Drosophila melanogaster: one gene and its partner. Changing the gene in region 1 together with any one later gene gives a genetic interaction. Each region holds a gene or a part of one and is shown on either strand. Other genes may lie near its edges. The genes, in order: Kap-alpha3 and tutl.

What was found.
Region 2: of Kap-alpha3 (region 1) and tutl, changing one enhances a phenotype caused by changing the other (phenotypic enhancement), as found in Drosophila melanogaster (one study listed by BioGRID).

Annotation. Positions count from the first base shown.
Region 1 is NT_033777.3:9,573,680-9,579,397, reverse strand, and holds Kap-alpha3 (karyopherin alpha3), read left to right. Parts: upstream 1-1,664; 5' UTR 1,665-1,750; exon of another isoform or gene 1,751-1,790; intron 1,791-1,924; exon of another isoform or gene 1,925-2,088; 5' UTR 2,089-2,130; coding exon 2,131-2,190; intron 2,191-2,249; coding exon 2,250-2,630; intron 2,631-2,690; coding exon 2,691-3,521; intron 3,522-3,585; coding exon 3,586-3,762; intron 3,763-3,828; coding exon 3,829-3,924; 3' UTR 3,925-4,914; downstream 4,915-5,718. Other genes in the region: Son RNA binding protein, read right to left, coding at 1-1,218.
Region 2 is NT_033779.5:4,281,584-4,286,401, reverse strand, and holds the start of tutl (turtle), read right to left. Parts: upstream 3,255-4,818; 5' UTR 3,150-3,254; intron 2,153-3,149; exon of another isoform or gene 2,100-2,152; intron 1,702-2,099; exon of another isoform or gene 1,644-1,701; 5' UTR 1,328-1,643; intron 1-1,327. UniProt on the Drosophila melanogaster protein: Essential protein that plays a role in the establishment of coordinated motor control. In the developing eye, involved in axonal targeting of the R7 photoreceptor.

The DNA of each region.
Region 1 (5,718 bases):
AACCTTGTCCTTGACCTCTGCAGTCATGTTAGCCACACCGGGCATAGTTCCCTGTTTGAACATGTTAATGGCATTTCGTCGCGCAATCTCGAGCAAGCGCTTTTTGTCTATGCCGAGGTCACGCGAGCGAGATCTTGACTTTCGGTTTCTCCTGGTGTTGGATTCGCGCACGTTACGCTTGGGTGAAACCGACAATTCCTCCTTTTCATCATAAAAGCTGTTGTGCGCCCGTCTACGGCCGTTGGAAGCCTTCTCCCGGAGGTACGACTCCTCATCGGAGAGCGAGATATCGGAGAGATCTTGTTCCTGCCGTGACTTTGTGCTCGCTGATTCAGATCCTTTCAAGCGATCCGCTTCACGTTGCCCGTTGTAAAAGCTATTGTTGGAGCGGACGCGTTCCCTTTCATGCTCCTTTTCCCGTTCCCTTTCTCGTTCCCAGTCGCGATGCTTCTCCCTTTCATGTCGTTCGCGCTTTTCGGAATGACTGGAAGGCTCCACAGCGCTGCGCTTCCGGCTCTCAGACTTTTCTTTCTCCTTCTCGGAGGGAGCTTGTGCTGCCGTAAACTTATCTTTGGATTTGTCCCTATCCCTGTCCCTGTCCCGATCCTTCTCCTTTGATTTGTCCGTAACGCGGTCCCGATCTTTCTCCTTAGATTTGTCCCGGTCCCGATCCTTCTCCTTGTCTTTGACTCTGATGTCTTTATGTTTGTGCTTCTTACGTTTATGCTTGTGCTTGCCTTCCGCCTCCGAGTCGCTGCATTCGCCATCTGACTTGGTCGTCTTCTTTTTCTTGGCCTTCTTATCCTTCTTCTCCTTTTTCACCTTTTTCTTTTTCTTGAACAGATTGTCGTCTAGAAGTTCCTCTGGTGGAGCGGCATTGAATACGCCGAACAGCTCGGCAAGGATCTCGTTCGAGGACTTTACAGGCTTAATGTTCTTCTTGTCGTCCGCCGACGCGGAGCTCTCGCTCTCCCCCGACTCGTCATTGTTGCCCAGTTCATTGCTGTTGCTCCTCCGCATCAAAGTCACCATCTCCGCCTTGATCTTGGCATTCATGGCCCGGAGTTTGGCCTCCACCTCTGCGTCCGGTCGTTCGCTCTTTACCTTAATTGGCGGAATCTTGGTCAGTGCAAGTGGCTCCTGAACCGGAGGATTTGTCTGAGACCCCGCCACTTGAGGCGTTTCTACGCTCGCCCCTTTCTCTGTGTTCTCCGTCATTGCTCTCTCGCTGGGCGCGGATCGTCCTAGTGTCTATGCATGCTAATAGATTACCGCAACAGATCAGCGAATTTGTCGCTGTTCGCGATTAAGCGTTTTTCTGCACGTCTTGCTTGGACAGAAGTTTCAATAATAGCGATGACACTCGTAATGGTATCTACAGTTCGCAGGGCTCAAAGATATCGATACTTTGCTAGAGTTGTGTAATAGTACCGTCACGACAAGCGCCTGCTTGAAAAAACCTAAATAATAAGAATTGCTATAATGCTTTTTAAGACAAATGAAATATTTCCTAAATAATGTTCAACTGGTTCATAAGCTTACAACTCCAACTGAGTAAACTTAAAATTTCTAAATTTAAAAAATAAGTCGACATAAATTCAGATCTGACGATTGGTGCTTCAATCGACCCTGCCTATAAGTGGGCAGTCCCGAATTGCCAACCGCAGCCAACTTCACTCACGTCGTTGTCACTGATTGCAATTTTAATAAAAAGGAAAGAATTTTATCACTTTTAAAAGACGTAGAAAGTGTATGTGTCGTGGGAGAAACCCGATTTACTTGCTAAAAACGTAAGTATCCTCTACCGAGGACCAAGAGAAACACTTTTTTCGCCCGTTGCATTGCTAATTTTCATGTATTTTTTCGCCATTTCCTTTTTTCAATGCCTGCGCCATCGTGTTATGCTGCAACTGTGTTGGTCGATTCTACGTTATTTTTTCGTGGATGTGCGCTGGTGTGGGTGCGAATAATTTTTCCCATTGGCTGGTGTGCAATTGAAACAAATTATTAATTGTTCATCGAATACGCTAGGAGGCGTACGTCGCCAACATCGCATTCAATAGTTTTTAAAAACTCACTTTTTAACAGCCAATCGAAAAAGCAAACCCTTATACAAGGAAATCAGACAAAATGACGTCTATGGAGCAAAATCGTTTACAAAACTTCAAAAACAAAGGGAAAGACCAGGATGTGAGTAGTTAGAAGTTACCGCTGAAATGGGAAACATTATAATATTAATTAATTTGCAGGAAATGCGACGTCGGAGAAATGAAGTCACCGTTGAGCTGAGGAAGAACAAGCGCGAAGAGACCATTCTCAAGCGTCGCAATGTGCCCAATTTGGACTCGAACACAGATGAGGAGGAGCAGTTGTCCTCGTCCATTGACCTGAAGAAGCTGGCAAAGGCAGCCGCAGACGCCACCAAGCCGGAACAGCAACTGGCCGCTGTTCAGGCTGCCCGCAAGCTGCTGTCGTCGGACAAGAATCCACCCATCAACGATCTGATCCAAAGCGACATTCTGCCCATCCTGGTGGAGTGCCTCAAACAACACAATCACACAATGCTCCAGTTCGAGGCCGCCTGGGCCCTGACCAACATTGCCTCTGGCACATCGGCTCAGACCAACGAGGTACGTTCAGCTTTCCCTCTCAGCACTTTCTTTGTTTTAATGCAATATAATCCTGTATAGGTTGTTGCCGCCGGTGCCGTGCCGCTCTTCCTTCAACTTCTCAACTCGCCCGCTCCCAATGTTTGCGAACAAGCCGTGTGGGCCCTGGGCAACATCATAGGCGATGGTCCTTTGCTCCGCGATTTTGTCATTAAGCACGGAGTCGTGCAGCCACTTTTGTCGTTCATCAAGCCAGACATCCCCATCACATTCTTGCGCAATGTAACATGGGTTATTGTGAATTTGTGCCGCAACAAGGATCCGGCTCCCCCGACAGCCACCATTCATGAGATCCTGCCCGCACTCAATGTGCTCATTCATCACACCGACACGAACATCCTGGTGGACACGGTCTGGGCCATCAGCTATTTGACTGACGGTGGCAACGATCAGATCCAGATGGTCATTGAAAGTGGAGTTGTACCCAAGCTGATACCACTGCTGGGCAACAGCGAGGTCAAGGTACAGACAGCCGCACTGCGGGCTGTTGGCAATATTGTGACTGGATCGGATGAGCAGACACAGGTTGTGCTCAACTACGACGCGCTCTCCTACTTCCCGGGCCTGCTCTCGCATCCCAAGGAGAAGATCCGAAAGGAGGCGGTTTGGTTCCTTTCCAATATAACCGCTGGAAATCAATCGCAGGTGCAGGCCGTTATTAACGTGGGTCTCCTGCCCAAAATTATCGAGAACCTAAGCAAGGGCGAGTTCCAGACACAGAAGGAGGCTGCCTGGGCCATCAGCAATCTGACCATTAGCGGCAACCGCGAACAGGTCTTCACCTTGATCAAGGAGGGCGTCATTCCGCCATTCTGTGACCTCCTTTCATGCCAGGATACGCAAGTTATAAATGTAAGTATAATTTGCGTCTCTTCACATATTTGTTTTGAGTAACACATTCCCCTTTTTTTTAAAGGTTGTTTTGGATGGTCTGAACAATATGTTAAAAGTGGCCGATTCTCATGTTGAGGCGGTGGCCAACTGCATTGAGGAATGCGAGGGCCTGGCCAAGATCGAGCGTCTGCAGAGCCACGAAAACGTTGAAATCTACAAACTAGCTTATGAGATCATCGATCAATACTTCACTGATGAGGTGAGCTAACAGTTTAAGTCAACCGTTTGTTATTATTCTAAAACGTTTTTGATGCATCCTTTACAGGGCGAACAGACTAACATGGCACCGACCTCCGACGGCGCACAATACAATTTCGATCCACACGCCGATAGGCTAACGATGAACTCATTTAACTTTTAACGATTTAATCAGAAAGCAGCCGCGCAGTAGCAGTGAAGTGAAAACCAAACACGTGCAACACCACATAATTTGGCGTTTATTCGTACACAATCGCTTGTGTATGAACAAGCCCGACGAGCCGTCAACCAATTCACATAATAATAGCATTATATTTTGTCCACCACACAGCAGCAATTAGACAGCCGGGTTCGTTTTAGGGACGAGAATAGGAACTCTGGAGGATACACAACGGATAATCCGCTGCAGCCGTTTTAGCTTCTCTCAATTCTGTGTTAACAAAATTACAAAATTCAGACATACACACACTCTTGGGTGTGTGAATGTGCAATGCAAGGACTTCTCCGATTGAAGCGACTCTGCTATAGATCATCCAAAATATAAACACAGGAATGAGAAACAGATTTCAAAAAGAATGTAGACCTATTTGATTTATATGAAATTATTTAAATATTTACGCTTCTGATTTGTAATTGAAATTACATATGTATACATTTCTAACATGAAAACGATAAAAGCAAAAGGCAACTCATCATTTTGTTTCCAGGCAGATAAGTTAAGCGGAATTTTATAAGAACAAGTGTGTCGCGTTTCAAGACCAGGCATTCGAGTTGTCCGTCGGCCGAGCTGTTAATAATTAGCGTTTATTTCAGCTAGTGCGTCACTTGAGCACGTTTCCCATTAATGCGCAATTGCCCGTCTACCTGGCAGGGCAGCTGAAAAATCGGCTTTCACATGGCAACAGATCGAGTAAATATTTGTAAACAATCAGATCGAAAATCGAATTCGGATTGCAACAGAAGGGACTGGGCGTTTCCCTCAATTGAGGGATCAAATTGTATTAATGACTTATCTGCAAAGCATCAGTTTCGCTAGTGTTCTGTATACAGTATAGGATACTTTAAATCAGTTAGATTTAGTTGAGTGATGTGATGTATGTTTTACTTTTAAATCTTGAGGAGTGTGGGAATAAATAGCTCTTCATTTTACTTTTACATATTCGTTCTTTCATATAAAGAAAGTTTCGCCTGGCGGTTGTTTTTGGAACTACTCAGAATATTTACGTGTAACTTACCCATCATCTACATGGGCTTCTATAATTATTTATAGGACATTCCGAATTCTGTGATGAAAGTTAACTTTATGAAAGTGGTTCCAGCTCGTGCAGTACAAATCTTTTACTGAAATTTACCTAATTTTTCGAAAATAGTATACTTTGACTTATATATGCAGGCGGGACAACGTTTACCAACACTAGAATTTGAGATGGCAGATTGTCTAGCTGTAGTACCCCAGCTGTTGCGGTGCTAAAATTATTTTTATAATTGTGTAATTGTATGTGTTTTAATACGTCATTTCCTGTGAGATTTAATAAATATAAGATTTAGATATTAATTTTTTTGTATTAGTGAAAAATGGCGCATCACTGTTGTCGCGTGACTCCTAAAAAACTTGCATTTGCCTGCTATTTATAGAGATGCTGCACTTGTATTGGTAGCGATGCATTCGATTCAGACACATTTGCTTCCGTCAACATTTTGCTGCGGAAATTGCGGAAATTGGCACACTCTCCTCAAGGTCAAGGATGTTGTGCGATAGCTAATGAACCTGTGATCGTGCAAAAACCTGTTCCTAAAGATGAATGCATGATTTTTGCACTTTTTAGAAAGTCAAGTACGAGTTGTAGGTACAATTGTATAGGTATTTCCTTAACGTGTCAAATTAAACACGTTAGAAAATAGCGCGCTCAGCTGTTCGAGTTTGCGGCTGTGTGGGTGCTAGCTCTCTCTTTTGCTC
Region 2 (4,818 bases), on another chromosome or scaffold:
ATTCGGTAAGTAAAAGAAAAGCTGCCTTTAAAATTTTAAATAAGCTCAAAAATCATGTGGAATATAACCTATATCTGCTGCAAAATAGGTTACAGGTTAGGAAATCCCCTTGATAGATTGATAGAACAATATGTAAATATTTCGCTTCCATTGAATAATATTTTGTTTATACCAAACAGGAAAAGAGTATATACAAATCTCCGATAATCGAAGCTGTGACCCCAATTTCTTGTTTATGTTTACACTTATGGCGCGTCGCTTTTGCCTGCATTCGTGTGCGAGCATAGTTATCGCTATCGTTATCGTTATCGCCGCTAAGCGAGGTCGTAACTCGTTTGAATAGGTTACCAAGTGACCTTAGTCGGCAGTCACGCAAGCACCCACTTACAGCCTTTATATATTTACATGTAAATATCTGGCATGCACCAAATGTAATGGTAAATCGATCCACCGATGATTGCTGGCATTTCAGGGACCCGTCGACAGACAGGCCCAAATTTACTCCGTATTTCCTTGGAGTGGGCGTAGTAAGCCCATTTTGTGTGGAGCGAAATGGGCAAACAACTACTTCATTTATCAATATTAAGCATTTGTGGGGCGGGGTGGAAATTCGAATATTCGAATAAATGACTGCCAAGAGGCGAGTGGAGCGATTGAAGCGAAGCGCAAAGCCATGGATCCGTATCCGTATGGTGTGTCCCTCTATGGGAATTGCAATTTCCTGGCCAACGGAACCACTAATAACCCTTTGTCTTTATCATCTGTCCCCGTCTTTGTCGTCATCGGTTACACATGTTTGCTGCTTTGTTATTTCGAACTACAGATGGTCAGATCTAGCCACGCTGGAAGCTCCTCCTAGCAAGATACAAAGCCACAAAACCAATCAAGCCCCTCCATCCGTTTCGAGCCACCGAAACTGCAATCCCCTCTCGAAAACCGATCCCTTCGATTCCCGCCTGGCATTTGCCGTTTGTTTTCTGCTTTCTGGCCCAGTTCAGTTCGGTTCGGTTCGATTGTTTGTTTTTCTGGGCCAGAGTACTTTTTTCTGGCCTTTTGAAAATTTCGTAATTGAATTGGGCCCGTAATGCTCGCAACCGCACTTATTTACACTTGCCGATGTAATTGAAATTTCATAAATTTTAATTAAATTCTTGCCTGCGGACATTGGAGCATTTGATTGTTCTGTTCGATGTGTGTGCAATTGGCGATGTTTTAGTTTTAGTTGCTGCTGTAGCTGTTGTAGCTGCAGTAGTTTTCCCCGAGGATTTCGCTTACATTACAATTTAGAGTATATCGACATTTTGGACCCTAATGGGTGGTGACTCACCTCACTTGCGCAATCATTATACGACGTGCCCAGATCCAATTCTATAGTTGTGTACTGGCCAATTCCAAGAGTCCTGCACTCCTGGAGTCCTACAGTCCGGGAGTCCTCAAGTTGGTGAGTGACCAGGCGAGTTTGATTGCTCAAGTCGTAAAATCCGGGAGTTGTTTGCTGTTCGCCTTTCGTTTTCGGCGTTTACTGGGCGCGTTTTACACTTTGTTTACAGGATAATCGCATACTTTATGACACTTTCCACTTCGAGTACACTGGGCGTATGCGTTTGACGAAGGACTTTGAAACCGTTGACTTTTACGTGGGGCTGCACAAAGGATTTTTATGTTATTCCAATTTGATTGGGGGAAATGGTTGATTGAGTGCTTCAGAACAAAGGCAAAACTCATAAGACATAAGGCGTAAAATGAATGGCGATGCGAGGACTCTGCGTATAAACGCGCCTTTTATGCACAACAAATAAAATCAATACGGCGTAAAATCAAAAATATGAGCATGGGTTGTGGCAATTGTCACCACTGGGTCTGGTCAACAAATAAAGGTCCTTCGGCATTTGTGGATTTCACTGCGGCACACACTCCGAAACACGTGACTCATGGGTCAATGCGGTGGCTACGCCTTATATGTACGCCCTATACGAACTATACGCCTTATATGCATTATATAATTGTCACTTGGCGAGCTGCTTTATTAGCATCCTCCCACTGTTTTTTCCACTTGGTCGGGCCAAAATCACAGGTCGAAACCATAAACTGAAACTCACAGCTGTGCGTCGCCGCCACACCAATTGCCTGGCGTTTTTTGAAAACTCCGACTGACGACGGGCCTGTCGAACAGCTCGCTGGAAAATCGCGACGGCTGCACAGGCCAAAAAGCAGAAACAGAGAGAACCAGTTTTCCAAGGCAGTGGGGAAAAGTGCTCAGCGGGAAAATATGGGGTTTAATTTTTTGGCAATTTTTTGAGCAAGCTATGCTCGAAAAGTTATCAAGCTGGTGCTAAAACATTAGGATAGGAAACTTGTTGTTTTAATATTTTCAACGCTGCCTAACATCATTAGATATTTCCATAAAGGATATTGGTATTGATAAAGTTTTAAAAATAAATATTTAACAGACTCTTTGTTGAAACTTTAAATATTTTTAAAAATTAAAATATTCTTAAGTTTCTATATGCTGGTATGTCTGTTGGAAAAGGTCCTTCTATTTTCCCTTCCAAGCAATCAGCTGATGCGTAACGGCTATCTTGTTGGCCAAAATTCCCCAATAACGGTAACTGCTCACTTGCGCAACTGTCCTGGCCCGAAAAACCCCCCCATTGAGAACTTTGCAGCCAGTACAAGTTTTCAGAAATGTCTCTTATAACTCTCTGTCACTCTCTTTGCGATCCTTTGGGAAACTGGAATTTTTCTTGCAGCGCTGTTTTTCTTGGCTGTTCTGCTGCTTTTTTTTTCTTCCCCATTTTCAAGTTTTGCACCCGCGCGGGTGTGGTCCTGTTTTTCCGATTCTGGCCAAAGGAGCGTGAAAAGCGCCGAAAACGCGAGCGAATTTCCACTTCAGCACAGACACACACACATATGTACGCACACACACGCACAATTGGGAGAGCGTTTTCCCACCCCTTTTCCGGTGGTGATTTGAATTTGTGACGTTCCGCTTGATTGCCGCCCGCTTTTTGCTTTGTTTTTCTTTTATTCACTCATCATTTTCCATCAATTTGCGTATCCATAACTTGAACAATTTTCCTAGTCGCACACAAACACACGCACACACACACAGAGACACTGGGAAAAGGCGAGAGCGAGACAGCACTTACGGCCACTGAACGCTGCGATTGAAATGGGATTTCTGATTGCTTTGGACTCTACGGATTTCGTCCGCGTTCACGTACGCCGTGGTGGAACAACAATTGAGTACTGAATCTGCGTCAGGAGTGCTCGATTTGCCACTCGAAAAAGAGACGGCATTTGCTGCACGAACAGAGAGATTGCGAGAGAGAGAGAGAGCGAGAGAGCGCGCTGCTTCGGCGAGAAAGAGAGAGCCTATACTCTCTTATACTATATGATGCTGGCTAATGCCATATTCCGATTCAGCTTCGGGCCGAGCGAATGTGGCCAGCGAACCTGTCCTAACCCTTTGACATGGCTTTCCGACGACGACGGACCGGACAGCAGAGAACCACGAGAATTCAGGGGAGTGCAGTGCACTCGAAACAAATGCGGTGTAATTCAGGCCAGGAATATGTTTCCAGCAATTGTTCTTGTAGAAATGAGACCTAAGAAAACACCTAATACATTCAGATATTTGCATGATTTCCAAGGCTTGCTTGAATATTTGTTTTAGCGCTGCAGTTACCAAAACTCTTTGGTCAACACTTTACCAATGTTTTTTTTTTTTTGTGTGTGGGAAGCCCTTCTGCGCGGCCGCTCGGCTTCATTGAATAATTATCTCGAGTTTACCTGTTCTCAACTGTCGGCGGGCCCTTCGATGTGACTGTGACCCAAAAACCAGTTTCACCGCCAAACTCCCAACTCGTTTGGCGCTCAGAAAAGGCGAAAAGCGCCTGCGCAGCCCGCTCAAAGTTGAAAGAGTGAAGCCATGTGGAAATGTGTTAAGTGCCAAACACCCAAAACATTTCTGTTTGAGTAGCCAAAGAACCGTAGCGTAGGCCCCTGCCATGGGCCATATAATTGGATAATGCGAGCGAACCCCCCGCTTAAATGGCTTTTTAATTATGCCCAAGAATGTGGTACATCATCAGCGATGATCTATGATTTCTACCTGCATTTGGTGGTCCGTGCAGCCTCGACGGTCCATTCGCATCGTCACTTTTGGCCAGTCATAAAGTTCCCACAACTCAGGGTGAGCCTGACCTACGTTGTAATGCTTCAATTAGCCAACATCTGCTGCCGTGGCCGAGAAAACCCAGTTTCCCCGTGCTCGAGCGACAGAATATTTCCCTTGCAGACCGAGCGAGAGGAAAACTCCGCCACTGGAAGTTGGGAAATCAGTGCGACTGCGCGAAAATCTGCAAAGACAAAATCCTGCTGAGAGACGCCCTCAATATGCTGGCCTCTTTCTCTCTTTTGCTCTCTGAGAATCACCACCCGATTCGGCACCACCCACTCGCAACACCCACTTTTGCCACCCAACAACTTTGGCAAAATGTTTCGTTTTCGCTGAATTTCACTTGGTTCACAGGCCACTCTGGCGAATCCTTCGCAGGACCTCCTTCTGGTGCACTGGCACACACACACACACACACAAGAGAGTACCTACTACATATATGTTGATTTTGGCACTCTGATTTATGCATTATATTAGCGTTGATTTTTAGCTGCAATAAATCTGCACATAATCGGGGGCTACATGCTATAAAGCCATGCATGCCATCCCGTAATCATAATTCACCCGGTCCGTTAATAGGTCCTTCCCCACTCCCCCTCTCCCTAACACACCAACGACGAGCAAACCAAGTCACTAAT